Linked DNA regions of Arabidopsis thaliana. The protein of the gene in region 2 interacts with the protein of the main gene of each other region in a pairwise test. Each region holds a gene or a part of one and is shown on either strand. Other genes may lie near its edges. The genes, in order: AT2G36340, PAP2, ARF19 and ARF6.

Region 1 (6,197 bases), on a different chromosome or scaffold from region 2:
ATGCCTTTGTGACCATATTCAAGAACAAAGGAGTTTCAGGTACGTAAGATATATACCAACACTGTATATGACCAAACATAACCGATCACGTCTTTGATAGATTAAACAGAAATACATATACCTAAATAGATGGGATATATAATATAAATGTTTAAATTTGGGCAGGAGTTTCGACATTTCCGGATCCGTTTAAGGCATGTTGTGCAACAAAACGAGGTACCTTTTGTGGAGATAGAAGCTTGAGTGGTAAAAAGTTGTACACTCTTTGCGATGATCCAAAATCATTCTTCTTTTGGGACAATGTTCATATCAGTGATCAAGGATGGCGTTCTGTTTTTTCTCTTCTTCTTCCTGATTCACAGTTTTAAATCAACTAGATCAATATGCAATAATTCTCCATTCTAATGATATATGATGATTATCAATTGTCTTCATAACAATGCATACAAAGATTATTTCAATACCCACTTAAATAATAATTATTAGCTAGAGACTCTAGTCTAGAGTCAAAACCAAGGGCCACAAAGAACAAATCAAAGTTTTAGGTGCGAATTGTCAAAACTAAAATAGTGGGGCATTATACGAAAGAACCAAGAATACAGGGAGAAGTAGACAAAGAATCTTGCAAAGTCTTCTTTCTGTGTTTGATTCTCATCAAAGACTTCACTTTTGTTCTTTGTCGCTTCAATTCAACGCTTATTCCTAAATTCGATTTTGCGTTGTCAAATTCCTTAAATTTCGTTACAAAGGTTTGATATTTCCGATGAGATCTCCAGCAAAGACGATGCCGTCGATGTCACCTTCTTCAGTTTCCACGGAGAAATCTCCACCTCCGTCAGATACTTCAATGGCTATAGTAGCTTTCGATAACTCCACTACTCACTTCTCTTCTTCTCCATCGCCGCCACATTCTCTTGATCATTCCAGTGAATCGGAGAAGGAAGATGCGAAAAGTAAACCCGAGAGTAGAAGAAACAAGAATCCTGGAAAGGTTGAGGAAACTCCATCTCCGATTGTGGTGGTTCATAATCACAATCGCTCTGTGAAAGAAGTGGTTCCGACGAGAAAGAGTGCGAGAGTTGGTTCTGGGAGAAGTAGTGGCCAACGATCTGGAGCTGTTTCGGCTATTTTGAGAAGGTCTAGGAGAGAAGAGGTGGTAAAGTTTTCAGCTTTAGGGTTTCGGTTGAGTGAGGTTGTGTTGGCTTTGATATCTTTCTCAATTATGGCTGCTGATAAAACTAAAGGTTGGAGTGGTGATTCTTTCGATCGTTACAAGGAGTACAGGTAATTATTTGTTGTGTTTGTGCTTATTTCTTCGCAGATAGTGATGTTTCTTGAATTTAGGTTCAGGGTTTATTTTAGGGTTTAGGGTTTTATCAGTATCACTAGTGTTGGTTTTTTGATAAGAAATTTGGATTACTTTAGTTTTAGTACATGTGAATTGTCTTTAACACTTGCGTGGTCCAAGTCTATGTTTTGGTTGAACTTGGTGAAGTCCTTAAAAGAAGTAAAGTTTGTTCCTTTTGACATTGATTTTGATTTGTTGGATCGTAAGAATTCATTTGCAGTTTCCATTTTGTTGTTTTGGTCAAACATTTGAAGTCAGTTTAGTATGATTTGATTTTTGATTTTGAGACTAAACTGATTTATCTATGTGTCATCTTCTGATATCTGTGACAGGTTTTGCCTGTCTGTGAACGTGGTTGCTTTTGTATATTCTAGTTTTCAAGCATGTGACTTAGCGTACCATCTTGTCAAAGAGAAGCATTTGATCAGCCACCACCTTCGACCTCTGTTTGAGTTCATTATAGATCAGGCAAGTCATTAACACTTATGCTGTACTCTCGATGGTATTCCTTTGTTACTTTCGTTCTTGTATGAAGTATGATCTACGTGGTTGCATCTAGGTGATGAGAAAAACTTGGCTATAGATAATTCCTGATACTTTGACTTGCACCATCTGCTGGTATTTACCCTGTCTCCTGTGAATCAAAGAACAACACTTTGTGGTTAAAGTCCAATATTGTTACTCTTTTTCTTTATGCTTTAGCTTATAGCATATGTGGAAAGGGATTTATCTTATAGGTCGGAAAACATGGTGAAAGTGACTGTTATACTTGTTTGACCAAACTACTCCCTTCATTACATAATTGAAATCTCTTTCGTCCCCTGCAAAACATTTCAAAAGCATGTGTAAAAACAGATGGAATTATGAATAAGAAAGGTTTGTTTTGTTTGTGCAATCAGGTACTTGCATATCTGCTTATGTCTGCCTCAACAGCAGCAGTCACTCGCGTTGATGATTGGGTTTCAAACTGGGGAAAAGACGAGTTCACAGAGATGGCAAGTGCCTCGATTGCTATGTCCTTCCTGGCCTTCCTTGCCTTTGCTTTCAGTTCCCTCATTTCAGGCTATAACCTATTTAACCAAGGCTCTCTCTGATCCTCCCACCTTTTTGTATAGGTCCACACTCCTTGTGTGATGTATAATAAAAATGATCAATATATCTTAGCATTGTAATTATTATACTATTTTTGTAGCCTATATAAAGGTTTCCAAAAACTATGAGGTTAATAAGAGAGGCATATCCTGTTGTCAAAAGGGTCTTTATAGCCAACTAAATAAAGACTCTGACAGAGCAAAAGGCAACAACTTTTCAGCTCTTGAGCCATATGAGTGTCCTCGATTGTAAATGAGACCTCAGACTTATCCATTGTGCATCTTGAACCCTGAAGAAGGAAGAAGAAACCATCTTGCACAAGCCCAATGTTTAAAAATGGAAAAGGGTATTTTAGTCATTTACGTTTTCGACACTCGGACTTCCTAGTTCCTACGCCTGGAGAATATCAATAGCCGCCAAAGGATTGATCGTGCTTTTGCTTCGTATCGTCTCTGGGTTTTTAAATAGAGAGACTCGAGAGACTCTGTTTGACAATAGGGTTTTGAGCTTTCTGAGAGTTTTATATAACTTGACAAAGTTTTGATCTTTCATCACCGATCAATGGTTGGTACGAAGAGAGTTGCTGATTCCATCGACACCAACTCGGATGACACACTCACGAGGAACCGTGAGGTTGAAGTTGAGGCGATGCTCAGTAGGAGAAAGCAACTAAGGACAACAACGACGAGGACAACAACGACGAGGACAACACCATTGAGCTTGTCTTCCTCTGCTTCAAAGATGAACTGGTCTAAAAACGATGAGCTTGTCATTCTCGGGGTTAGTTAGTAAATTCTTTGCAGCTTCTCTATATTCTTCTTTATCCTCTTCTAACTTTTTTTACTCTATTTTGTGTGTGTGTGTAAAAGGGTATTGTGGACTATGAGAATGAAACGAAATTGAGCTATAGATCTGACTGGGATGCCTTGTACCGTTATATCAAAGATTGTGTAGAAGCAAAGTTTTCGAAGATTCAGCTCATCAATAAGGTCAAGAACATGAAGAGAAAGTTTACATACAATCAGGGGAGATCTAACCATGGGGAACAACTTTCTTTTACTAATACTGATGATGATGAAATCTTCAAATTGTCATTGATCATATGGGACAAGAATGAATCAGAGTATGTTTCTAATGAGAATATAGACCAAGCTAAGGTGAGTGTCTTTGTTCTGTTTTTCAACAATCTCTTAGACTACTAATGTGCAATGAATTAATGATCTTGTTTTCTTGATTTGCATAAGGATGTTCCTTCTGGTGAGCCAGAGACTAATGATGTGCCTTGTGAGGAGCAAGACGATAGGGATGTGCCTTGTGAGGAGCAAGAGCGAGCGAATATCGAGATTGATAATGGTGTGAGAGAGAAATTGGACCAAGCCAAGGTGAGTGTGTTAGTTCTGTTTTTTCTACCAATCTCCTTGTTACCATCTTAAAACATGATGTAAAAAATTGTGTTACTAATGATGTGCAATGAATTAATGATCTTGTTTTCTTGTTTTGAATAAGGATGTTCCTTGTGTGGAGCAAGAGAGTGAGGATGTGCCTTGTGTGGAGCAAGAGCGGGTGAGTATAGAGATTGATAATGGTGAGAAAGAGAAATTGGACCAAACCATGGTGAGTGTGTTTGTTCTGTTTCTACCGATCTTCTTATTACCACCTCAAAACATGATTTATTGATCTTGGTTTCTTGTTTTGAGTAAGGATTGTGAGGAGCAAGAGAATACGGATGTGCTTTGTGAGGAGAAAGGCGATAAGGATGTACCTTGTGAGGAGCAAGAGAATAAGGATGTGCCTTGTGAGGAGCAAGAGCGGGTGAGTATCGAGATTGATAATGGTGAGGAAGAGATGAGTAGCGAAGAAGATGGTGTGGATGAGGTAGGTGTTATGGAGGACACACTTGATTCTGGGATATCGTTTCAAGGTTTAGGTAAAAATGGTGTGAAAGACAAGAGTGAAGAAGATGATGTGGTTGAGTTGGGTGTTCTCCAGGAGATATTTAAGGAGGATACATTTTTTCAAAGTTTAGGTAGATATCAACAAAAATTGCTGCTTCAGAATTTGGAAAACGTTGGAGTTGAAAGAAGAAAAGAGCTCATCAACGAATGGAAGGCATTGTTTGTTGATGAGCAGCGATTGTGTGTCAAGAAACTAACTTTCGCCGCAAAGCTTGCAAACTTAGGAGTTTCTCCTTGATTCAATGAAGAAAAATCTCTGCTTTTGGAATGATCTCATTTTTTTTTGGTTGTGTCATATTGATAAGAAAAAACATGATGTATCCACGATCCGTTCTTGTTCTAGAGCCAGGTAACTGAGGTAAGTAACAGTTAGAGCTAACCATAGCAGATTCTCCTTTTTTTAGTGTTGTGTTTGTTTCGACTCTTCCTTTTGGGTTGGGCTTCGATAACGATTGTTCAGGCCCACTAACATTCTTTTCTTATTGTGCGTCTGTCTCTTTCGAGAAAAAGACACAAGCACTTAAAGCCAAGATTCGCATTTTGCCACATGCCACTAATTTCACCTTGTGTTAGATATTATTTTTGTACTACACACTCAACGAAGACCATAGATCAACTCAAAATATTTATTACACAACAATTATCGGAGAAGAGATTGATGTGAAATGTAATGAAGACGAAAAGAAAATAAAAAAAGAAACGACGAATTTGGACGTAATTTTCAGCCAAAACATATGCTTTGGGTCCCACACTTTCACATTTCAACTTTATCATCACACCGAAACACTAAACACCAAAATCCCCGACAAATTTAAAGAAAATTTTTCCATTTTTTTTTTTTACTCTATCTCTGTGAGAGATTCTCTTCAAGCTCAGGCCTTTAGGCTTTAGGTTTCTTTTGGGAGTCTTCTTGAGCTCTGTAATCACTCTCTAGAAGCTTATTTTGCCTCCTAATGTTATTAGGTACGTCTTTGTATCTGTACTTGCTTCTGCATTTTTCGATATTTGTTTCTTTTGATGAGATTTGGGGACTCTTCCTTCAGAAGGATTTGAAGATTTTGACATCTTCCATTAAAAGTTGAATCTTTACTTAAGCTAGTGTTCTTAGCATTCTGTTTATGTTAGCTTCATGAGATCTGGGATCTCGAGGCTGCTTTTTTTTTTTGCTTTGATTTCACATTTAATGGGTTTTGATTACATTTTCATTAGGTGAAGTGAGTTGAACTTGGCTTGTGGTTTTGATGAATTTCTTTCTATTAAAAGTTTTGGTTTCCCTACCAAAAAAATGTCTTCTTTTTGTTAATTAAAGTCTAAAAGTAGCTAATCTCTATCTGTACTTGTGTAGGGTTCATCATTTGAGTCTATAACTATAATGACTTTCACTGTTCATTTCCTTTTTAAATCTCTTGTTGTTTCCCTTTCCTTACTTTGTTCATCATTTCTCCTTCCCTTTACTCAATAGACACTGCTCTTCCTTTGGATTATTGCTCTGTGAGTTATTTAAAATAAGCCATAAGGTCTCTTCTTATGATTGTTGCAGGGTGTTGTACTGGAATTATTAGGATGAACCAAGGAAGATGAGTCTCTCGGTCTTTCAAAAACCAAGTCTTGTAATGAGGAGCTGTCCACTGTTGTAAAGTAAGTCATTAAGATGGAATCCTTTGCAGGTTCTTGTGAAATTGTTGAGGAGAAGGATGCGGTAAGGTTAGCCAAACATTCTAGCAGATATTGTATGTCACCTTTGGGATCAAGTAAAGATATGGAGCAGCGTCCTGCATTGAAGTCAGGGTACCAAGGTTCTA
Region 2 (5,895 bases):
AATCTCTCAATGCAAAAGCTCATTCGAATTATCCTTCTCTGTTATTTTCGAGATCCGATTTACTCTTCTTTACTAGTCAATTCTAGGGTTTTGAGTATTGATCTTTCGCAATTTCGAAATTTTCCCAATTTGAAAAGATAAAAATCTTCCCTTTTTGTCTGGATCACACTTGATTGCTGAAGTCATTGCATGCACTGTTTTGTTGTTTACAGATGAATTTTGGGTTGCCAAGTATATCTTGGTTTGGTAGCATCAGCACAAAGAAAGATGTAGCTATGATTGATTCCGTGACACCAACAACAACTTCTCTATTGGAACAGCCAGAGCAAGAGAAAGCAACAACCTTTCTTCTCAAACAGCCAGAGAAAGAGAAAGGCTTATTTGATATAAAGATATGGACTTGGTCCTCCTTCAGTTCAGTTCTTCCTTGGTCTGCAAATGCCTCTGATGGTAAGCAGAAACCCACTACTATCAACAGAGGGTTAAAAAGGCATGCTCTTTCTCGGAGGTCATCAAGATCAAATGGTGTGAATACTGTTTATCGGTTTAGACCTTATGTGTCTAAGGTTCCGTGGCATACAGGGACGAGGGCGTTTCTGTCACAGCTTTTCCCGAGATATGGACATTATTGTGGACCTAACTGGTCTAGTGGGAAAGATGGAGGTTCGATGGTTTGGGATCAGAGACCTATTGATTGGTTAGATCATTGCTGTTATTGCCATGATATTGGTTATGATACTCATGACCAGGCAGAGTTGCTTAAAGCTGACATGGCGTTTCTTGAGTGTTTGGAATCAAACAAGCGTGTAGTTACTAGGGGAGATGCTCAAGTTGCTCACTTTTACAAAACAATGTGCATTACAGGTAACTACAATCTCCTTATGCTTTTATATCAATGTGGGATTATTTCATAATTTACCTTATTATTCAGGTAGTAATATTTGATAATGGCCGTTTCCATTTGGTGATGTACTGATGTATCTTGAAACCATCTATCTCGAATGCTTTCAGGTCTCAAGAGCATACTAATACCCTACAGAAGTTACCTTGTGAAGATACAATACGGGCAAAATCTACTCGACTTTGGCTGGATAGTGAGCAACCTCAGCAAGAGAAGCTGGAGTTTTCAGAAAAACTGAGACATAAGGAAGTATATCGGAGGTACTCTGTCATCCCGGTAAGCCTTTGTGGGTGTCTTCACTTTCGTTTTGTACATAGAAGTCATAAAGAAAGGAATCTGAGGATTAGGTTCTTTAGTAGTATAGATATATATGTTTAGTATGAAGATGTGAAAACGCTAGTAAGTGTTGTGCGTCTTGTAAACCCGTTGTACATGTCTAGTAATAAACCCTTGTTTTTGAAGTCTTTTGTTTGAATGATATAAGCTCTATCAAAGGATCATTATAACTTCATTTCATGGAAACTCATGAACTAGAAAAACTATTTTCTATAGTAAAGTTTGCATCCAAAACATATATAACAATGAAAACCACATCCGGTTTACACACTACCAAAACTTTTATACATATGAATTATGAAGTCTTCCTTGGCAAACACACATACACAAACCCATATGTTTCATTAGATTGATTAGAGAAAGAAGTAAGAGGAAGAGGCCTTATTAGAGCTTAGTAGAGGCTGGTTTAAGAAAGATCAAACATCACTCCTAGCACACAAACACACAAGAATACTTCAAAACAAAATGGCTATTCAATTTCTTAAAAACATATTTTTTCAAATCATATATTATCACATAAAAGGGCTTTTCCTAGTTCCTGCTTCTGCACTTCTCCATCACCCTTGGAGCTGCAAAAAAAGAAAAAGCAAGATTTGTGTATGAATCATTGTGTATTCTTCATTTGTACAGTAGTGTGCAGTAAGTTCCTAGTGTTTAAGAGGCTTGGAAAGGACTAAATTGCATCGTTTTAGTTTCTCCAGTAATATATTTCTTTAGCTTCAGAATGTTTATAGAATCCAGCGAGAAGCTTAAGAACCATGAAAGTATTAGAAGGGTGTCTTAGTTCAAAATGGACCACCTTTCTAATACATCTTAAAATCGAGCACATGGGTGTGGAACATTAAACTAGGGTTTAGTAAAGAAATACTAACCTAAGCCGATAGCCTCAGAGCTCTTCATGATTCTCAGCTTCTTGCAGGAGCATATAAACATTCTGCAGAGGAAAAAACAGTAAGAGAGCTTCACTGATCTATATTCTTCTGTTAAGCTAAAACTGTGCTAAGATCATTAGATATGATCTAATACTTGATGTTAATTTACATTGTTGAGATTGATCTTTTAAAAATCAAAGACTTACTCCCAAGGGACATCTCCGACCAGCATCCAGTCACTGTCTTTATCTTCATAGGTTACAACATACTCAGAACCACGCAAGAGATCAGTCAAGCGACTCTCGTTTAACCCATCTCTGCCACACCCTCCATGAGAACCAAACTGACCTGAAAAAAGGAACCAAAAGAAAACAGTTAACTCAATCACTGGTATTGATCTCAAAGAAGGAGAGACTAGAAAACGTTACCAATGGTGAAGCAACTGAACATCTTCTCAAGAGCAGAAGAGAGCTCAAGGTAGCTTTTGTAAGTCTTGAGATCGATTTTCCTCAAGTAAGGAGCACCTTCCATACTCACTTTGACATACAAGCAAGGTTGTTCTGGTCCAGACTTAGCTTCTGCTTCTTCAGTCTCTGAGTTATTACCAGGTTTCTGAGATTGAGAAGAAGCCATTGAGTTCTTCCTGAATGATCTTATTGGTGGCCATCCCACCACTTGTGCTCTGCTCAATCAAAAAAAAAAAACATCAAGAATCCCTCTTCACAGAAATCATAAAACAGAGCAAAAAAGCTGAGAAAAATCTAAAACAGAGCAAAAAAAGCTTACTTTGAAGCTGGAGCTGTAGCAGAGCTCTTCTTCTCCTTAACCGGAACAGCCGGTTTAGTGAAAGTTGTCGACTTTCCATCTTTAACGACGGAGGTACGGGGACCAGAACCCGAGCCGACATCACCAGTAGCAGTAGTGGATCCAGGAGAGAAGACCCATTTGTTAGAGTCGTTAATAGCGTCGGAGAACACCCTTTTGGCACCTGACACGGGACAGCTACTCTTGTTGAGAGCCAAGAATCTTGAGTCGACTCGCTCCGGCGACTCAGAACCGGGTAAACCGAGTCTTAACTCGGTAGCCTTGAAATTGAGACCGTTGTTATTGTCTCTGGTTTTGGTTTTGTCAGACATTGTTGTTGCTTCCATGGTTGGAAACTCTGACAAACCTATGTAATCATGCTCTGCTGCTACAGATACAGACATTTTTTTCAAATATAATTGTGGACAAACTTTTGAAGCATTTAGTGATTACAAAAGAAAAAAAGAACAGAACACTTTCTGAGAGAAATGGGAAACAAAAAAATTTAAAGATGAGATCAAATTGTGAGTGAAAATGAGAAATGATAAAAAGGTGTGTGAGAGAGCTTTATTTTTTTTTATTTTTTTACCTTTAATCTTCTTTTTTCTTGGAATCGTATTATTTTCCAAAAGTGGACGGAAGTAGTATACGTAATTTTATATTCATATAAACCGTAATTAGAAGTAAGTACTTTCCTCTTTTGGCGGGTTTAAACACAAAATGTTGATTTAAGAAAATGGTACACATGAATGTATTGTATATACACGTTACGTTTTGTGTAGACATCTACTCCCCGACAGGTCACAGAAAGCGTCCTGAAACCTTTCCTATTATGCCCTTGTCTCGACTCTCGTATTCCACGTTTTGTTTTACTTTTTACTTTTGTATTTGAAAAAAACAATTTGCTATCTCATGAAGGTGTGCATGTTATGCTATCATGCAAAACGATTTAGTATCTAAAATACGCTTTTGTATGCAATTCCTTTTTGATATATGTATAGAGATGTTGTAATGAGTCACTAATTCTGTTTAGTTTGGCTTAACATTATATGTTTTAGATTCACTAGACGATTTGATATAACTCATAAGTTAGCTCGTGAAACCAATCTTTACTCATGAAATTGAGTGATGATAATGATAATCTAATAACGGTGAACCATTTAATCATGTGCATGATAGCATAACATATTCTATAATAAATCAAACGTATTGGAGTTTAAACTTCACAAACTTGTATAAATTCACTAGTAGTTTAGCTAACGAATGGAGATTATTAGTAAGTCGCCAATAATTGCGATGGAAGATGATATTTAGGCTTGGGGGTGAGAACAGAGAAGAGAATCTCGAAAAAGTTTTGGGCCCATAGGCTCTCATTTTTTGGGTCCACCAGAAGCATGAAAAGAGGAAAGAAACAGTAGGGGTAGCTCTTTGCCACTTAGCCGCAGTAGCAATATTGAGCAGTGTTCCCAAAAAGAATTGTGGTCTCCACACTCCACTTTTCATTTTTATCAGACAATGTTTTCCCAAAATCGAGCATATATGCTACAGTACATTACAATTTGACCTATTAGTAAAACTTTGATACTTGGATCATAGTCTTAAATTAATAAAAGTTTAAATGATCAAATCAGATTTAACTTTGATAGTATTTATGCCCATCTAATCTATCTCCAAGTATATTTTTTAAGTGGATGACTCAATCTACATTTAAACGTTTCAACTCATATTTTAACCCATATTTATTAAACCAATATATCTGATGCTATAACAATATAACATGAGAAGAAGTATATGAAATATTGTCATTTATATTCTACCAGTGATTTATATATTGTTTGGCTGTATTGATTAAGTCATTCATTTGTAACAACGATAAGTATATACATAGCAAGAAGACATACAAAAAAGACCTGTAAGTTGCAGTATTATAAAATATCATATGCATAGTAATTTGGTTAAAGCCTGCCTCTAAGGTGGATCCATCTTTGGATCTTATCTAAAGCTTTTTAGATTTGTGTTTTAGTGTAAGTTCGAGTGTCTTAATCATAAGGTGCCTTTCTTTAACTTTTCCTTTGTCTCTCTCTTTTTTTGGGCAAGGTTTTTGTCGTTTTTGGGACATCTCAACTTATATTCCACCTTAACTCACCATCTAATCGTGCCATTAGTTACTTACAAAGCTATCTAAGGATACGAATCTTTAGTAAAAATGTGTCTATCACTATAGAAATCATATGAAGGCTATAAAATCTAAAGATTAGTTGGAGTTACCCAAAGTATTTACTTATCTATATGGATGTTGCATCACATGTGGCGGTTTTAATTATTGTTATTATTATATATGGCCACGTTGGGTTTACTGTATTAACAAGAGACATCATAAGTAACTCTAGGGTTTAATTATACTAGCGAGAGACAGCTTAAGTAACTTAAAATGTTGGTTTTGAATGTTTGTTTATAGACTTGTGTGAGCGACAAATACATACTATAATTTTATTTATTTTTAGTACTGATGTTATACTTAATGTTTTTTCATTTTTTTCTGCTTTTCATCAAGCATAATAATTATGACTATAATTGAAAACTATGTAGTTAGTTGAGGATCGAATGGAATTACACTAAACCTAAAATGTTAAATCAGTGGACGACCGTACTTACAGCGTTAGTGAAAGATCGGTTTGTGTCGTAATCGAAAAAAGAAGAAAAAAAAAGAACAAAGAGACAGTGTGAATCTTTAGACAAAGAAGCCACTTACCCTCCTTGATTTAACATCCATACAAGAACCTCATGCTCCATTATAACTCATAACCTACCATATCGAATCAATCCGATGGCTATAAATGATTAGATCGATATAATTTTTTAACCTGTCATCAAATTAGATCGATATAATTTTTTAACCTGTCATCAAATTAAACCGCATAATGGTAACTGCCGGTTTTGTTTTTCTTATGCGGTTATTAATTTCGGCGCTGTCTACATATA
Region 3 (9,062 bases), on a different chromosome or scaffold from region 2:
ATAACAATTTTAAACTATTTGTTTCAATTTTTTTAATTCCAATTAATCCTTGAATTTCACTGGCTTAATTGATTACTGAATTGTATATTTTTTTTTCTTAAAAGATATTCATTGAAATGATTATATTGAAAACCCTTAAAACATTAATAAGGTCGTTGTCAAATATATCAGAAAATAAATATATAAAAATTAATAAGACAAATACCCTTATTGCCTTTGTTTGAATGGGCCTGAAATATTATTATTAGGCTTAATCGTACAACTTAAAGTAAAAATTGTAATTGAAATTTAATAAGACAATACCCTTATTGATTTTAATGGGCCTGAAGTATTATTGTTGGGCTTAATCGTACAGTTAAAATAAGATTTGTAATTGGGCCTAGTGAAAGCGATTGGAGTGGATGATATCATGATAATATGATCAAATGACGTCAGAAGATCCAAATATAATTGTTTTATTAAGTTTGGCCTTTTCCCATCTGAAAAATCTAACACGTGGGAAAAAAATAGTGAATGAATAACTCTTTATCCCAATGATCAAAAAAAAATTGGGTAAAGAACTACAAAAAAAAATAAAAAACCCAAGTCAAAATTTTCAGATTGTGAATAATGGAATTCAAAAATTCCAAAGAAACATGGAACCATCGGCGTAAGTCTCTTCTCCAAGCTGATAATAATCTTGTGTAGGCGAAAGCTGCTCTCTGAAACGATCACCGGAGTATTCATCGGAGAAATCATCAAACCCAGGGAATAACCCAAACTCCGAAGCGAAGTTACCCGAACCAACCGTCGGAAGCATACTCAAAAACTCCGAATCAACGTCCATCGATGTTGAAGCAGATTCTTGCCGTATCTCGTATCCTGCTCCGCCACTTGAATCATCCTCCGCCGAATTAGCGAACCTCGCAGCAGCTTCTCTTATCTCAGATCGCGACAAGTTACGTCCGCCGGAGATCACCGGAGGATTATCAGGGAAATTGAACTTTGCGTTGTTGCCACGGAGACAATAAAGAGCCGCGTCGAAAGCACGCGCCGCCTTCTCAGGAGTATCGTAAGAGCCCAACCAAATACGTTCTCTGCTGTTGGGAAGTCTGATCTCTGAAACCCATTTTCCCCATTTCCTCTTCCTCACTCCTTTGTACTTTGACTGCATCGAAGAAGACGACCCTTCCATCACGATTAAACCAAACAAAGACGCGATTGAACCAACCCGGTATGATTTCTCTGTTTTCCGGTTTAATTTTGTTCTGTTAAGTTTTTTCAGTGAGCTCTGTTCTTCAGTGTTAGTGTTGATTTGAATTGAGATAATTGTATTTGGCGCTTCAGAAATTTATTTATACGAGTGAAATAAAAGAGTGAAGAGTGAGTTTTTGACTTTTTATGGCGCGTGAAGAAGAAAGAAGGTCAGCTTCAAAGGTCAAAGGGAGCGCGTTTGTACTTAAAACGCCGCAAAGTGTCAGGGGAATGGACACGTGGCGGATGTTACTAGAAGCTTGAGTCTTAATGTGTGTGGGTCACAACTCACACGGGAAATCTCAGAGACTGTTTGGTTTTCTTGTCCTTGTCCTTGTTTTTCACGTGATTCTTTCTTTAACTCCTCTCTTTTCGTTTTCAAACGTTGAAATGTTGAATATTTCGCTGCGTCTAGAGGATACTGGTATAAAAGAATCTGAAATGATCCCTGATTCTTAGGAGGCACTGAAGAGAAGAAGAAGAAACGACCAAAGATTCATGATTAATGAAGGTAATTGTTTAGTTACATTAACATTACATCTTAGTATCTCTGTATAAGATATGCTCCTCATAGACTTGTCAAGCATTATACTTGTTATACAAATATGGAAACAAGAAAGTACAACAACATCAAGTTAGAATGAAAAATCAAATCACTGTCCTATAAAAATGTTTATATACCGTGCAGTATCTTCTTCTTCTCAGTTTGTTGTTTGCAGTACATACACACAAAAAAAAACATGTACTTTGCGATGGCCTCGAATGATAATGTAAGTTGACTTGGTATATTTGCATCTTTTTATTTCTATCTGTTGAAAGAAGCTGCAGCAGAAGTGTCTTCATAGTGTACTTTCCAAGCATTTCCGCTGTCTGTTTCGCTGCAGGCTTGGTTTGTGGTTGGGATAGCTGCAAGATCTCCGTCTAAGCTCATTTGCTGAACTTCTACTGATGATAGTATCTTTATGTTCTGCACGCAGTTCACAAACTCTCTGTGGAAAAAACAAACAGACAAGAATTATCAGAATTGTTCAATCTTGACTGTTACAGATAGATTTTTCAGGTCTGGAACGTACTCCCAAGGATCATCACCAACTAGTAAAATATCGTTTTCGTGATCGGTGTAGACGAGTTTCCAATCAGAGGTTAGCGGATCTTCGAGCTGTCCTTCGATGCCAAACATTCTCGCTAAGTCATGCCTAAGTTCATCATAGCCGCTATAACGGGTAACATCTATTGATCTACCTACTGACCCTCGTTTTTGAACCTTCAATGATTTAACAACTTTCGGCATTTAGCATTCGAAAATTAAGAAGCAAAAGATTAGAGCTATGGAAAGGGAGAGAAAGATCTCTAACCTTTGTATATGTTCGCATTCGTTGAGTCTGATTGGGCCACAGTCCTCCACCATTCATGATTCCTGAATCATTGATGCCGCCAACCTCATTTGAACATCCGGGCTTAAAGGGAATGCTGGGAATACCAAATGACTGAGAACTGATTGCAGCACTGGACAGCTCCGTCTCAATGTCTCTTGGTGTGTTGCCATAGTTGGGAACCAAGTTTTGAAAGTCCTTTTGAGAATAGAGTGGATCAGAAGTTACGGCTTCGAGATTACCAGGGAAAGCTAAGTTGTTTCTTGGATGATGAGATTGGCAGTCTCCATCAAAACCAAATGATGGTAGTGGGAAAGTTTGTTGCTGCTGTACAGGGCCAACAACATCAGGACAGTACGTCGTTCCCGCTGTGGATACATCGATTTGATCTGTTACCGCGCTTTTAAATCTGAAATGTTCACCAGCACTCTTCATATTCATCATGCCTTGACTGATCCGGCTCTCAGTTTTTGTATAAAGCTCTTGGACCGGATTGCTTGCGCGCTCAAAGACTGAATCAGATGCAGATACAGATGCAGCTTGTCCTTGCTGTTGATTTCTGCTCAGGAAATTTGTCGGTGAAACATTATCATGTCCCGTGTTATTGGCGGAAGGTGAGGTTGAACAAGAAGGAGCTTCTCCATCTGTGTGGCCAGAATGTGATCTTCCAGCGGCTACAAGATTTTTGTTACTCATCTGTCCTTGCTGCTGAGGACTCACCTGAATCTGTGGAGGCTGCATGAAAGTTGAAGCTGGGAAGCTGTTATTACCATGTGCCAAGGGCTGTTGATTTTGAGACGACAGAAGTTGTTGCAATTGATGGCTTTGTGTCTGCTGCAACGCTGATAATTGTGGCTGTAAGGATGAGCTTACTGGAGGAATCGACTGCTGCTGTTGCTGCTGCTGTAGCTTCTGCAGTAGCTGCAACTGAAGCTGTTGTGAAGGACTTGGTTTTGATGATTGTTGTTGCATTTGGAGTTGCTGAGGATTTTGGGACAGATTTTGTTGTAATGAATGGAGAGAGGACTGTTCTTGCTGGTTTCTTAATAACTGGCTACTGTTATGCATTTCCAGTTGCTGCTGAAACTGCATTTCTTGCGCAAACGATGTCATTTGAGACAAGCCTTTATTCCCCATAGAATTTATGTTCTGGTGTGTCATTTTAGCACCAGTAGGGAGCATTGACTGCTGCTGAAGCTGAGACTGAGAGAATCCAGTAGGTTGGTTTGGACTTTGACAAGAGACTTGGTTAGCAACAGCAATCGTACCATTGTTATAAATCCCTTGTTGCTGCACCTGTTGCTGTGACATCTGTAGTTGTTGTTGTTGTTGCAGTTGTTGTTGTTGGTGTTGGTGTTGTTGTTGTTGTTGTTGTTGTTGTTGTTGAGATTTCACCATGGCTGGTTGTGCTTGCATCTGTTGGCTGATATGGTTAACCGTGTTCGGTTTGTTGAATTGGGAATTTGCGGAAGAGAGGTTTGGGGATTGGAAGTTCAACAGCTTGGAAGGGTCGTTGGAAGCAAAATTGTTTGGTAGGTTAAAAGATGAGAGCGCGGACGGGAGCTGAGGAGTAGCAGAACCTGACAATGGATTGTTTTGCTGCATACTCATCCATTGAACTAGACTTAAACCAGGGAACATCGAACTCTGTGCGTCCTTCATCCCAAAGTCTTCTCCCATCCAAGGCATTGCTCTTTTGAAAGCATTTTCCATGTCTAACTCATCATCTGCAACAAACCACCAAGGTTAGTATCCGGAAACTCAGTCAAAGATCTATGGGAAAAAAATGAACGAAAGCAGTAAACTCACCTGGCATCCCGGGTTGCCTCGGGTACTTAGGTCTGAAAAATGGAGGAGGACATATGTAAAAAGGAGTTATGACGGGTTCGATTTCCCATATGGATACTCGGCTTGGCCTATCTCCAGCTGTTGATTCATCCCATCCTACCTGTTTAAACCATGAACAAAAGATTCAGAAGAAATGACCATCATAAACAGTTTAGCATAACTCGGATATGTCATTACCTGAAGATTACGCCATTGTGAGCCTTTCCATCTTACAGGGTCAAGATCACTAATACCTGTGACTGTACCCATATATCTACGAACCCCACAATCCTCAGTCTCAAACATCATCCGGAATCTCATTCCTAGAGATACTTGAGCGTATAAGGCTTTGTTGTATTTGGCTAAAGGAACTACAAACTCTGAAGGACTTGCCCTTGGATTGAAGAAGATGGTAAAAGGGCTACTATTGGCATTAGCATGAGCTGCAGCTGCAAGTATCCCAATGTGCATACTGTCGCTGGATATGACCGATGAGGAAAGAGTCGGAGTTTGTCTATTTGCACGTCTTATACCCAACATCAGCTGTGATTTCTCATCTCTGCAAACCCAAGTACCCTTATGAGAAGATGAAAGTCCAATTCTGCTTAATGTTTTGATCAAAGTATGACTCATACCTTACAAACAAAACTGAATCACCCGCAAATAGTCTCTTTGTGCTAACAAAAACGCTCCAACCTGTGGTAAGCAAGTGTCTTTTTGGTTGGCCTGAGATCAGATTACATCAAAGAAAACAAATCAGGTTGAAGTTTTCAATCTTTTAGACTAATAAAACAAACTTTAGATGATTCAAACCTCGATAGATATGTCTGAAAGTCCATGTAGTATCATGTAAATCTTTAGCTACAATCTCTTGCGCAGGCGGTTGCATCGAGAAATCCTATTTTAAGCACCCTTAGAACTTTTAGCAAAACAGATTCAAAAGTTTGAAGCAAAAGAAACTGAGAGTAGCTTTGATCAGAGAGACATACAAGAGGAGGGAATATTTTCTCAGCTGCACGACGCGGTACAGAGAATCCACCATGAGTGCTTGTGTCACTTGCAGTAAGAGTCTTGCAAAAAAACTCAGTAGGTTGTCTGTTTAGCTTCAAGCCCATATCAGAAGCTAGCAATGCTTCTCTATCATACTGTCACACATTTTGAGCAAAGATCAGCATTAAAGTCCTCAACTTTAAACCAAGATAGCACAAGAAGAATGATATAATTCAGACCTTATTCACAGGTTGAAGAGTCATTTGTGCATAGACTTCATCTGTTTCGGTATCAGCCTGATTCAGAATTTCACAAAAGTCCTGATTAGTTCATCTTCTTGTTGATTCACAAGTTGGAGTCAGAAGAGACTTACATGTAATGTAACACTGTGAAGCAAGCAAATCAGCTTAGAAGGAAGATTTGGGTAATTTGGTATAAAATCTGTTTGCTTCTGCATCGATGCTGCAACCTGAAAAAAGGTTTCATTGAACATATTACTTAGATTGCTACCAAAGGTTTCAAAATAGTTTGAAACGCAATGAACTTACTTGCTCGCTGTGTCCTTGAGGGAAGTAAACCACAAGACTTCCCACAGGAGGTAATGAAACTAAAGGCCCTGCACAAGCGTGCCATAGTTGAGAATTGATTGGCTTCTTCTCTCCTGTTCATCATCATCACACACATATTCAAATCTGTTAAAAGTGATAGAATTTTTGCATAGTTTCATTTAAAGTCTGGAAATTTTATGAGCGGCATTTATGTTTCAACCACTTTATTAAATAAAGTGATAGAAGAACTCGATTTGTGACTTTGTGCTGACTCCAAAGTTGAAATTGAATAACAAAATTCATTTTTTCAATGAGAAAATCACAAACATGAAATGCAGAAACTCCTTGATGAAGAAATTGAATAGTATAAAATCTGGAAAAGAAGAAGATAAATATAAAGCTTGTGTACCTTCGTTGGAACTTGGAAGAAATCCATTTGATGGAGCTTTCATGGTTTATAGAAAGAACGAAAAAATTGGTTTGGTGCAGGGAAGAAACAGAGTTCTTCTTCTTCAGCAAAATTAACGAATCTGTATTTGCTCAAGAGAAGAGCACGAGAGAAACTAAATAGTAATAATTTTGGAAACAAAAATCATTCTGCTGCTAAGGAAAAAGAAACAAAAGCTTTTTTCTTCTTTTTAGTTCATAAGAATATTTGAAGCTTCAAAGCAAATTTTTAAGCTCTTAAAAAGCTTTGAAACTTTTCTTTTTTTTCTCGTGTTTCTGCAGATTCTCAAGTGTTTTTTCAAAAAAATAAAAACAATAATCGATATTGAGATTTAAGCCGATTGGGATCGGATACATGCGGAAAGATGAAATCTTTTCTTATGCCTTCTGACGTGGCACCCCACTTGATGTCTTCTTCTTGTCGGTCCCACCTTTTTTATTTCTTTTTATTTTTATCTTTTCCGATTATAATTTACTGTTGTTGGAAAAACAGTCCATGGTTTTAAAATCTGTTAACTTTCCCTCGTTTTTATAACCATATTTTTAATTTTTTACTTTAGTAATACGGATTTTCTTATGAATGAGGTTATACCATAAACCCGGATATATTGAGAAAAACCTAAGGATTAGGTTCGGCGGACCGAAAATTGCAAGCCAAATGGGGACTTAAATATTTTCTAATCCAAAGTTGTAAACTCTTGGTTACCAGAAAAGATGTCCCACTTTTTTTCTTTTATATACATATTTTCTGTTATAATATAGTAGTAGCTAATAAGTTTATTCATTTATATGGATTGGTCCAAATTGAGACATGTCCGTATAATGCGAGAAAAAAAAAAACACTACTAGTAATTTAATGACTTAATTATGATTAGAATAATATTCCTTTTGATACGCAATGGAGCACCCACTAGCCGCAAAAGGAGGAGAACTTCACATGTTTACAGAGCTACGGACATCATTATACTCCAATTAAAGCTAAGCCTTCATGTGTAATTATTAATTTTTCAGGCAATTATTTTATTCATCTTCTTCTTTTTTTAATCAATAGTATAAAGTGTTCGTTTTTGTTTTAATTAATGTATAAAGTTCTTTACAATTAATCTGGACCGGAGTAGAGTTGTTCCTTACTTTCAGCTCTCTACGTATGCATATAAAATGTAGTTGTAGAGCCTTTTTCCTTTCAACGCCGATCTTTCTTATGAATTTTGCTTTCAATTAACATATACTATAATAGTATTGTATTTCTGAATCTCAGTATACATGTATTTAGTGGGGGAGGTTTTGACCTAATTATTACCTTTTTGTTGATTTATATGTAATTAGGGATTTTCTATGTTTAGACAAACGGAAATAATTTGGAACATTTAAATATCTTTCGAGAACAACTCTGACTCTTTCCAAAGTAAATATTCTTCATTGATATCATGTCAATACATTCATTGAAAACATGATGTTATTTAATTAATATGAATTATATATAAAAGATTCAAATATATAGTTTATGTTTTGATCAAAACAGAAGAGGGTTAATAAATTAAAACATTTCACATGTAAAAGAATTCAAGTGGTAATCTTTTGGTGAGAACATATGAGATGATCACACCTCCAAATGGACATTAAACAAAAACCATAAGAGCTCATTAATATATGTTCAACTTATCGCGGTTAAACAAGAAATACCGAAGATTAGCCATGAACTTAGCAGTTTAATATACATCTCTTTCTAGAGTAATTTATAATTTACCACATGTAAATTGATTAACCAGACAGCTACATGTTTATAAATGTTAAACAAGAGATGAGGTGAAGCGATCTCAAGAGCCTTACCTAGTGAGCAAAAGAAAAAGGAATGTAAAGTTTGATAAGTTAGGTTTAAACATATATTATAGAGGATCAAAATTTGAAAAGATATGGGACGACAAAGTAAATCTCAACAAGAATAAAAAGTTGGCATGCTTTAGTGTTTTTTATGCCTTTTTGGGTCAATATTTGCTGCGCGTGGAGAGTATATGTACGTACAACAATTGATGTGTTTAGAAATCACTCCTCATCAAAACGAATTAACCATTCTAGTAGTAGTAACACTCAATCATTGTTGATATTTTTTTCACCTCCCACTATTGACTTTTATATCTATATAAAATTAAATTATAATTGGATTTGATCCACGCATCCTGCAAAAGTTTCCTCAAATACATACGCATGCACCATATATAACAAAAACTTGGGACTTTTGTGAATTCCTCAATTTCTACCACCATTACAGAAAGAGTCAATAAATATATCGTTTTTACTAAAATAACTAAAACACAAGAAAAATGTATGTGCACGTGAGTGTGGGTGCAGCATGCACGTGAGGTGTGGCAGAGGATGTCGGGAGAGACAGGCTCTAGACTCCGACCGAGTCTTTCGGTTTAGCCAAAATGGTTTTGCTTTTAAGTGAGTGTATGCCTCTATGTCTCTTCTCCTCATCGTAACCACACACACTCTCTCTCTCGTTTGTTCTACTATTTCCCAACCAACAATATTTTTTATTTTTCTGTTAACTGGAATTTAGACTATCTTAAAATCTTGTTTTGCACACTAGTTTAATGTTTCAGTAGTACAAAAGTACATATGTTCTAATGACGTTATCAAACAA
Region 4 (8,930 bases), on a different chromosome or scaffold from region 2:
GATTATTTCTACTTGGTAATGAGACCGAATTAGAGATAGTACTACTAGATAAAGGTAAGGTCTTCAATAGCAAACTTTAAAACAAGTTATCCATTCGATCAACAAAATTATTGAAGCTTGAAACGTTTTCCTTTTAAGATCAAATTACGGCTATATATAAGATCTTATCACAATGGACTGATCATGTCCTCTTCCAATGTATATTCATCAATGAAAATAATTTTAATTATAGAGTAATGCACTCATGCATGTTTTTGAATTAATGAACTCAAAGAGTTTTATTCGTCCACTTTCAGCTACTTAATCCCAAATTAAACAAACAAGAATTCTAGATATTAAAGTCATGAAATTCTAATAAGATTGAAATTATATAGTTATGACATCTATCAAGAAAAGACATACGATTCTATGTGTAGTAGACAAAAGCTATGATCTTAGATCTTCATTTGAATATATTCTTAACCATGTAATGAATGGCTACTACATCCTATGAAACTAAAATTAATAATTGATTTTGTAAGATGAAGAAATACCTTTTAAAAGAAGAAAAAAAGGTAAAAAGAAAAGAAAAGAAAGAAGGTGAGAACTTTCAGAATGATGGGTCACCATGCACTATTTAATTAGGGCTCATGAAAGTGCCCTAACTTGTGTCATCTATAAATGTCCCTACCACATGCACCCAACATTATTTTCAACCATTTCCAATTTCTTACTTAGAATATATAGTCCCACCACTAAAGATTTATGTGAGTCACATTCATACACCACACATCAAAACCAAATACTTACAAATATCTCTTTATCAGATTTGTTATTTCTTTGACTAAATATCATATATAAAACATGGTCTTCAATTAATTGGTCACTCTATTATATATATATCCTAATGGACAACCAAACAAAAATAATATCAAATACCAAACTAAATCATAAATTCTTCTTATACTATTCAAATGATGCCCATTTCATAACTTACCTAATCCCATTCCGATAAAACCGAACAAGAAAAAGTTATATTGCAAGATATTTTCCAAATTCACAACAATTTCGATCAATTATCGAAATGACGTTTATTTTCTCAAGTTAATAGGAGTTAGATTTCCTTTTTTACCATGTTATAATATTCTAATTATCTTAACATGAAGACGCAAACAAAAACCATACTCATTCTACAAATTTCGTTTCATATTCTTTGGTGAAAACTAAACTTACTATAAACGATATTGTGAAAAAAAAAACTTACTATAAACGATAAGGGCATATATTAATTTACCTACCAATAAAAATGTCCTACGAACTACGGATCGATACGTGTCTAGAGATAAAGTTTTTGCTGACGCAAAATGAGATCTAATTTTAGGGTAAAGCCCCAAATTGCGGGTCGGAATATTTTGGTGTTTCACACAACAAAACCACAAAACGCTTTCACTTCCAATAAGGAGATTGGGACCCAAATCACTTTCTCTGTGGACCATTTTAGTCAGACAAAGTCTTAATGTAACTCCAAAATAACCCTTCACTATCATATTGATTGAAGAAATGAGTAAGGAAAGTGACATATATAGAGTTCAGTAAAAATATTCATATAAGAAAAAGACCAAAAGATCTTATAATTACAGTATTACGAGTCGACAGAGGGATTATATAGTTTTTGTTTCCATCAAAGGCAAAGGCAAATCTCCCTTTTTTATAAGTAATAAAGAGAGATTTTTGCTAGTAATTAAACTAAGATGATCTCACTACTAATTTATAAGATTGAAACTTAACTTGAATAAAAAGGGAGGTTTCCATCTACTTCTAGTAGTTGAATGAACCCCCAACTGATGCGATACCGTTACCGAGATTCCTCGGGTCTGACCGGTTCCCAAAGTCGTCACAGTTCCCGTTGCTCGGGAGCTTATCGACATTGTTGGAAGATGGCGCGGAGTTGAGAAGCTCAAGGCCTCTTTTTCCCATTTGTTGCACTTCTTGTGGTGACAGTATCTTAATGCACCACACGCTGCTCACAAACTCCCTGTCGATAATGGTAAATGCAGGTAAATAAACATGGAAATGGACAAAACCAAATGCGGAAATGAGGGATAAGTTAATAAACTCACGGCCAAGGGTCATCGCCGAGGAGAAGAACGTCGTTCTCTCGGTCAACAAATACAAGCTGCCAGCCTGATCTCACAGGGTCTTCTAATTGGCCTTCGAGGCCAAACATGCGAGCAAGCTCGCTTCGCAGCTCGTGGTAGCTGCTAAACTTTGATATATCTAACGATCTTCCAAAAGACCCTGACTTGTACACCTACAAAAACATTTCCGGAATCATCGCTATGCATGCAAACAAGAAGAACATTTTGGGTAGGGAAAAGAAATAAAACTTTACCTTCACAAAGGTGTTAGATTGTGGGTTCTCGGAACCGAGGTTTTCTGAGGATTGTAGAAAACCCGATTCATCTATGCAACTAGAAGGTGTTGTCATTGCAAGATTACCCGAGAAATCATTGTTGAAATTAGATGATGTGAAGGGTAAAGTCGTGGAGTCACCACCTTCAATACCAATGCTTCTAAGGTTTGACATTCCGTTCGGCATCAAAAGAGAAGATGAATCTATATTGACTCCAAAGAGAAGATGGCTATGCGGGTCTGAGGCGCTTCCTTCTTGCTCGATCGAGCACTCTCTACCACCGGGAAATGGAGGCAACGAGACAGCGTTTGGAGGAACGTTGCTTGTGTGGGACTGTCCCAGTTGCTCCAATACGGATTGAGTGTTATTATTACCGGCTCCAGAGTGCTGGAACGATGAATCAACTGCAGGACGCTTTGATGGCCAACCGGATGAAGTCATTGCAGAGTTTGTTCTAGTGAGGTGGAGCAGTTGAGAAGATTCGTCTTGAGAGAAGTTACTGAGAAGAGTGTGAAGTGGAGAAATAGGATTGTTTCCTCCGTTGGTATCGGAGAAGCTTTGCTGATGACACAGAGAGGTCATGGACTGGAGTGGTGACGTGTTGGGCTGAGAAGCAGAACCAAATTGAGACATAGCGGAAACAACAGCAGCACTGGACGCAGACGGATTATGATTATCCACTACTTGCTGCTGCTGCTGAGAAAGATGATTGTTTGACTGTGATTGAGCCTGAGACTGAGGCTGGTGGGTTTCAGGAACGCCAAGATACGCCTGTTGCTGCTGCTGCTGAGAGAGTTGTTGCTGCTGCTGTTGAGAGAGCTGCTGCTGCTGCTGTTGAGAGAGCTGTTGCTGCTGCTGTTGGGAGAGCTGTTGCTGCTGCTGCTGCTGCTGAGAGAGTTGTTGCTGCTGCTGAGAGAGTTGCTGCTGCAGCATCTGCGGCTGCACTAAGGACGGAGATTGCATTGAGAACCCCGGCGAATTTTGGAACTGAAGAAGTGAAGCAGCAGCTTTTGCAGGATCAATGCCTCTCATGTCTTGAAGGGCAGCTGCAGCCATTGCTTGGTACACATCATTTTGCATACCAAGCAAGCCCGACGTATCAAGTCTCGGCTGCATCCACGGGTTTACTCCCATACCTTGAAAGTTTAGAGATTGGAGTCCTCGATCCCACATAAGCGGTGAACTCATACTCATACCCATATCATCTTCTTTAAGGCCTGCAACCAAAATTAGAAGATATAAAAGACTAGAAATAGAAACCTTTCAGAGATTTGTTAAAGTTTTGAAATTTACAATACCATGGAAAGATGGGAGACCAGGAGGCCACGGCCGTTTAAGCCTGAGAGGAAAAGGAGATGGATACATAGGGAATGTTGTTAAAGGCTCAATCTCCCACAATGAAACCCTTGGCTGTCTCTCTCCTGCAGTAGATTCGTCCCACCCAACCTGCATTTTGATCAGATGATGAATGATATATGTATACGAGAATGCAAAGACCAATGAATATTTTCTACTAAAGGTTTGGTTTTGAGCTAAACCTTGACAGATCGCCAATGCGAATTAGCCCAACGAGTAGGATCTAGATCACAAATGCCAGTTATTGTACCCATGTACCTGACAACAAACGAAGATTCTTAAGGACATTCAGCAGCAAAAAGCAGAGTAAATTATAGGAACTCTGATAATTCACCTACCGACGAACACTAGATTCTTCAGTTTCAAACAGCATCCTAAACCGCATACCAACAGAGACGCGAGTGTGATAAACCGCTTTCACATACTTAGCCAGGGGTATAACAAACTCTGATGGACTCGCCCTGCAGAAAAACCGAATCCGTTTGATGCAAAACGAAGAGAATCAACACATAAGTGCATTCATAAGGTACTTAAGACGATACCTCGGGTTATAGAAGATGGTGAATCGGCTGTTTGTAGCGGCAGCATGAGCTGCTGCAGCAAGAAGGCCTAAATGCATACTGTCACTTGACAAAACAGATGAAGGCATGACAGTTTGTGGTCGGTTGGCTCGTCTTATACCAAGAAGTAATTGATTCTTATCGTTCCTAGCATTACAAATACTTGAGTCAGTTTCATGATTTGAATGTAACACTTAAACAAAAACCCCAATTTGAAAGATGTTTCTAACCAGATGAAAAGAACAGAGTCACCAGCAACAAGCCTTTTAGCACTCACAAATACGCTCCAACCCGTGGTAAGGAGATGTCTCTTTGGTTGGCCTATAACGCAGAAACAAATACAGATTAAATAAATCTCTTTGTTCTTCAGCTATTAATAAGAACTTGGATTTTTCACGAAGAAAGCTAACCTCGGAAAATATGCCTGAACTTCCATTCATTATCATGCAGATCCCTCGCCATTAACTCTTGAGCTGGTGGCTGCTGCGAGTAATCCTGAAGAACACATAAAATTTTATTGTTAAGGAGGCAATAGCTAATCTTGAAAGTAGAATTCATATGAACAATAAGATGAATTACCAAGGGAGGGAAAACTTTCTCAGCAGCTCGGCGAGGTACAGAAAAACCTCCGTGAGTGCTTGTATCACTAGCAGTCAGAGTTTTACAGAAATAGTTTGTAGGCTGTCTACTTGGGACACCTAATTCCGCGGGAAGGTAAGGATCTTTTTGCTCTTGCTGCATTCAAACCAAGCAAAGAAGGTTCAAAACACCGACAAATTCCACAAAATTAATTATGAATTACATAGTAAAGTCTCATACCGCATTCAACGGTTGCAAAGTCATCTGTGCATAGACTTCATCAGTCTCCACATCAGCCTGAAATGGTAAGGAATCAAGTTCTTAACTAACACACAAACAGAAAAGACACTTAGAAAAGTTTGTCATAAAAACTGATAGTGAGTTCCTTACATGCATTGTAACATTATGAAGCTGACAGATAAGCTGCGGATGCAAGCTCGGATAATTTGGTATATGAGCATCTACTTCTTTGTTGGTCGAAGCAGCAACCTGAAAACCACAAAACATTCTCAAGTAACCTGTAACCAAAAAGGAAAGATTTGAATCCAAATCATAAAAGGAAGGAGACAAAAACCTGTTCACTGTGACCTTGAGGAAAATACACAACTCTGCTTCCAACAGGAGGTAGTGAGACAAGAGGACCAGCACAAGCATGCCAGAGCTCAGAATTAAGAACTCTTTTCTCTCCTGTAACTTTCAATCCAAAACTCACAAAGTTAGTTTAAAATCACTATTTGCTAGAAGTATCAAAGCAATAGAGAGAGAAAAGAGAGAATTACCTTCATGAGGTTGAGGATTAAACCCAGCTGAAGATAATCTCATTTTTTATTCTAACTTAAAAAGCAAACAACAAAGAACAAAAAAAAAAACACAACTTTGTTTCTTCAAAGATCCAAAGATTTCAAGATGCCCAAATGTAATTATGAAGAAGAGACACTAAAAGCATAACTTTTTTAACTGTTTCCCTCCACCTCCCACCCATTCACCAACCAAATCTAAAAACCCTAAAAAAAACAGATTTATTTCTTCTTCCCTGAAATAAATCATCAGCCAAATAAGCTCGCAATCTTGGTCTCGCCGACTTCAAAACCGCTTCTTCGAATCTTCAACTCCTTCATACTTGTAACTTACTTAATCCACCCCACTCATAACTCCCACTTAAAATTGTAAAAAACAAAACTTTGATAGTCGTTTGGGTTTCTCCAGAAAAACCCACCACCGCCAAAAGCTCAGAAGCCAAGAAAAAAAGAAACACAGATCTCGAGCTAACTAAAACGACAGAAGCTGGTGCCGTTTCTTCTTCTATAAGCTGGCTTAATCGAGATCTCAGGCGAAGTATATGATTAATGCAAAGATCGGGAAATGAGAAACAGAGAGATATGGGGCATGCACTTGCTCAACTGTTGCAGAACATGGGTACACAGAGAATAATCAAAGATAGACAAAGATAGAAAGAAAGAGACTGTTTTTATTTTTATGTTGAAGAATGATTTTTTTTTTCCGGTAACGAAATACGGCGGCGACGTGACGGTGCTATAATTATTTGTTTATTCTTCTCTCTGCTAAAGTTTTACTTACTTCTCTCTCTCTCTCTCTTATTTGAAATGAGAATCAGAAGAAGAAGAAAGAACGACAATGGCTGTTTTTTGACCCGAACCCGAACGGAGCGGGTCTTTGATTTTCTTCTAAAGCAACTTGTTGTTCTGAAAGGACACTTAATTTACTAATTTACCCCTTATTTCCTTTTTATTTACAGTTTGGGACTCGTGCCTTTTTTTAATTTATGCTTCTCCCGAATTTCAAAACTTCGTTGCGTCGTCCATGTAATTAAAATTGAGTACTATTATGGTTTTAATAATACGTTATGGTACAAAGGAAAAAAAAAAAAATAATAATACGTTATGGTACCATCATATATTATAGTATTACATGATCGTATTTCTTACTCTTTTTTTTTTCTTTGTCATAGTAGTTTTATAAAAATTATGTGTTGTTGTAGATTTTTTTCAGCTAGTGGATGACCAAAGGCTTTTTTATACTAGAGTTTTAGTGAACTATTGCAAATAAAATGAATCAATTTGTTTTAGGAAAAATATCATTGCTGTAGAAATCCTTTGGTTTACTGGTCAAGGTTTAAAAGTTCTGTTTGGAGTACATAAGTACTCTTTCATTGGCTATTTTATTTTGCCTCATTATTTGATTGTGTAATGTGAAAATGGAAGTGTGCGAATTACAGCAAAATTTATTTTATATAGAATATAGCAATAAGTCAATATATATAGACAGTGAAATCACCTGATAAAAATGACAGGACGTGCTTTTAGGGTTTCCTGATTCTATTTTTTTTTTTTTTATGTATATAATAGTAGTTCGAATTGCATGTAGAAGAGGGTATAATTGGTAATATATATGTATAATACACACTTCCTCGTTTGGAAATTTGCGAATCTGATTTCTTCAGCTATATATTGTAATAAAGAATATACGTGTTTTTTCTTAAGATTCCAATAAATTTTAATTAGATAATTTTATCCGAAAGAAAGAAAAAAATTTAGAGAACATGAATTTTGATTCCAAACAATGGAGATAGTGATCATTTACCTAGGGGAAATGACAAGACTGCCCTAAGAAGGCACGTGCAACTTCTTGACGTAAACAAGGGTAACGTTGGAAACAGCATTATATACAAATAGATCAGTACCATCGCCATATCTTTTGTAGATTTTATTTATTTATTTGTATTAAATTCAGTTGCATTATTGTCAGTTGCTAGAAAATTCGGCTAATGTGTTTTTATGCAAGAAAGTGATATACGTACATAAAACATCAGCATCAAAAGTATCCAACTAGCATTTGTTTATGCAACTAATTCTTAAGCAAAACCTTAAAAATTTGCGACAAATTAGAAACGTAGCTTATAGCTAGTACCCTAGTGCTTGTTTATTATATACAGAGAACATGTTATACAAAATAACAGTTATTACTTAACATTTTCCCACACAAACAAATATAAAAATATAACAGTTATTAGTTATTATATACACTAGATTTCACAAGTTATGTTTTAAAAAATGGATATATAGAATTATGGGTGAATTTAGTGAAAACAATGGAAGATTTCAGAATTACTTAACATAAAAAATTAAAAATGACAAATAAGGTGACTAGGTGAGTAATAAATAATTAAAAATTCGCTTTTAGAGACATCTTCTCATTTCTTTTCTTTTTTGTTTTTGTTACTTCATATTTCTCTCTCCCCCCTATTTTACAAATAATTTATTTAGTATAATCAACATATGTCAATTATCATGTTAAACTATTAATTTTTGTTATGTTTCAATATGAAACTAATTTTGAAGGCATCATCGATTATATGTCATGTATATAACAAAGCGTAGATTTGTAATTTTTGTAATGATGTTCCTAACATAGTTTCCTGGCGGCCAAAATAGTGCTTCTTAGTCATACTTGATCAATTCTGCTTACAAAATCATTCATTGACTTTTGTCATTCTCGTATTCGTATTGCAATGGAAATCAATTTTGATATGAACCAAAACGAATTTGTGAATGGTCAAATTCTTTTAACTAGCTATCACACCACTCTATACGTTTTGAATTGGGTCACAAGATTCTCAAAAGCGAAATCTTTCTTTATTAAGAACAGCCGGTATGTATATACGAATATGTATTAATATATTTCTGTCGGCGATATATACAAAGTTGAATTGACGGGTAATATATATTATTAAAATACGTATAGGATAGATTTTCGACGTCAAAATAGTTATGTAGATACTATTATATGCGTAAGAAGAAGAAGAATAGGACAGTGTATGGTTGTCCCTAGAAAGAAAGGAAGTGAGCGGTGTACGATGATGGTTATGAAAACAAGGAATGAATCGTAGCCGTTGGATCAAAATTACGAGTGGGCACTCACATGAGTTGGAGATGGGACGTGACATAATACTAAAAACGAGAGAGTAGGGCTTCTTCCATTGGTCTCTTTCACAGTACTTACGGTGTTCCATCGCTACACGCAAT

The links.
Region 1: the proteins of PAP2 (region 2) and AT2G36340 interact in binary tests that used the Arabidopsis thaliana proteins (3 or more experiments, as listed by UniProt).
Region 3: the proteins of PAP2 (region 2) and ARF19 interact in binary tests that used the Arabidopsis thaliana proteins (3 or more experiments, as listed by UniProt).
Region 4: the proteins of PAP2 (region 2) and ARF6 interact in a two-hybrid assay, tested with the Arabidopsis thaliana proteins (2 studies listed by BioGRID).

The regions. Positions count from the first base shown.
Region 1 is NC_003071.7:15,232,857-15,239,053, forward strand, and holds AT2G36340 (DNA-binding storekeeper protein-related transcriptional regulator), read left to right. Parts: upstream 1-2,630; 5' UTR 2,631-3,001; coding exon 3,002-3,220; intron 3,221-3,309; coding exon 3,310-3,597; intron 3,598-3,684; coding exon 3,685-3,822; intron 3,823-3,946; coding exon 3,947-4,054; intron 4,055-4,141; coding exon 4,142-4,633; 3' UTR 4,634-5,048; downstream 5,049-6,197. Other genes in the region: AT2G36325 (GDSL-like Lipase/Acylhydrolase superfamily protein), read left to right, coding at 1-39, 166-368; AT2G36330 (Uncharacterized protein family (UPF0497)), read left to right, coding at 764-1,284, 1,681-1,816, 2,248-2,442; AT2G36350 (Protein kinase superfamily protein), read left to right, coding at 6,047-6,197. UniProt on the Arabidopsis thaliana protein: Probable transcription factor. Involved in stress responses. Plays a repressive role in cell expansion by counteracting the positive role of CPR5 in this process, but does not regulate cell proliferation or endoreduplication.
Region 2 is NC_003075.7:14,321,897-14,327,791, forward strand, and holds PAP2 (phytochrome-associated protein 2), read right to left. Parts: upstream 3,466-5,895; 5' UTR 3,318-3,465; coding exon 2,896-3,317; intron 2,792-2,895; coding exon 2,538-2,791; intron 2,458-2,537; coding exon 2,316-2,457; intron 2,172-2,315; coding exon 2,110-2,171; intron 1,807-2,109; coding exon 1,769-1,806; 3' UTR 1,400-1,768; downstream 1-1,399. Other genes in the region: AT4G29070 (Phospholipase A2 family protein), read left to right, coding at 213-864, 1,012-1,139. UniProt on the Arabidopsis thaliana protein: Aux/IAA proteins are short-lived transcriptional factors that function as repressors of early auxin response genes at low auxin concentrations.
Region 3 is NC_003070.9:6,626,357-6,635,418, forward strand, and holds ARF19 (auxin response factor 19), read right to left. Parts: upstream 6,778-9,062; 5' UTR 6,424-6,777; coding exon 6,381-6,423; intron 6,085-6,380; coding exon 5,972-6,084; intron 5,893-5,971; coding exon 5,797-5,892; intron 5,720-5,796; coding exon 5,663-5,719; intron 5,579-5,662; coding exon 5,423-5,578; intron 5,332-5,422; coding exon 5,247-5,331; intron 5,160-5,246; coding exon 5,069-5,159; intron 4,993-5,068; coding exon 4,632-4,992; intron 4,555-4,631; coding exon 4,416-4,554; intron 4,334-4,415; coding exon 2,589-4,333; intron 2,498-2,588; coding exon 2,307-2,497; intron 2,223-2,306; coding exon 2,039-2,222; 3' UTR 1,327-2,038; downstream 1-1,326. Other genes in the region: AT1G19210 (Integrase-type DNA-binding superfamily protein), read right to left, coding at 617-1,174. UniProt on the Arabidopsis thaliana protein: Auxin response factors (ARFs) are transcriptional factors that bind specifically to the DNA sequence 5'-TGTCTC-3' found in the auxin-responsive promoter elements (AuxREs). Could act as transcriptional activator or repressor.
Region 4 is NC_003070.9:10,684,328-10,693,257, forward strand, and holds ARF6 (auxin response factor 6), read right to left. Parts: upstream 6,662-8,930; 5' UTR 5,710-6,661; coding exon 5,667-5,709; intron 5,581-5,666; coding exon 5,462-5,580; intron 5,377-5,461; coding exon 5,278-5,376; intron 5,185-5,277; coding exon 5,128-5,184; intron 5,044-5,127; coding exon 4,888-5,043; intron 4,804-4,887; coding exon 4,719-4,803; intron 4,630-4,718; coding exon 4,539-4,629; intron 4,456-4,538; coding exon 4,291-4,455; intron 4,210-4,290; coding exon 4,087-4,209; intron 4,007-4,086; coding exon 3,931-4,006; intron 3,839-3,930; coding exon 3,691-3,838; intron 3,610-3,690; coding exon 2,372-3,609; intron 2,291-2,371; coding exon 2,100-2,290; intron 2,015-2,099; coding exon 1,798-2,014; 3' UTR 1,495-1,797; downstream 1-1,494. UniProt on the Arabidopsis thaliana protein: Auxin response factors (ARFs) are transcriptional factors that bind specifically to the DNA sequence 5'-TGTCTC-3' found in the auxin-responsive promoter elements (AuxREs). Seems to act as transcriptional activator.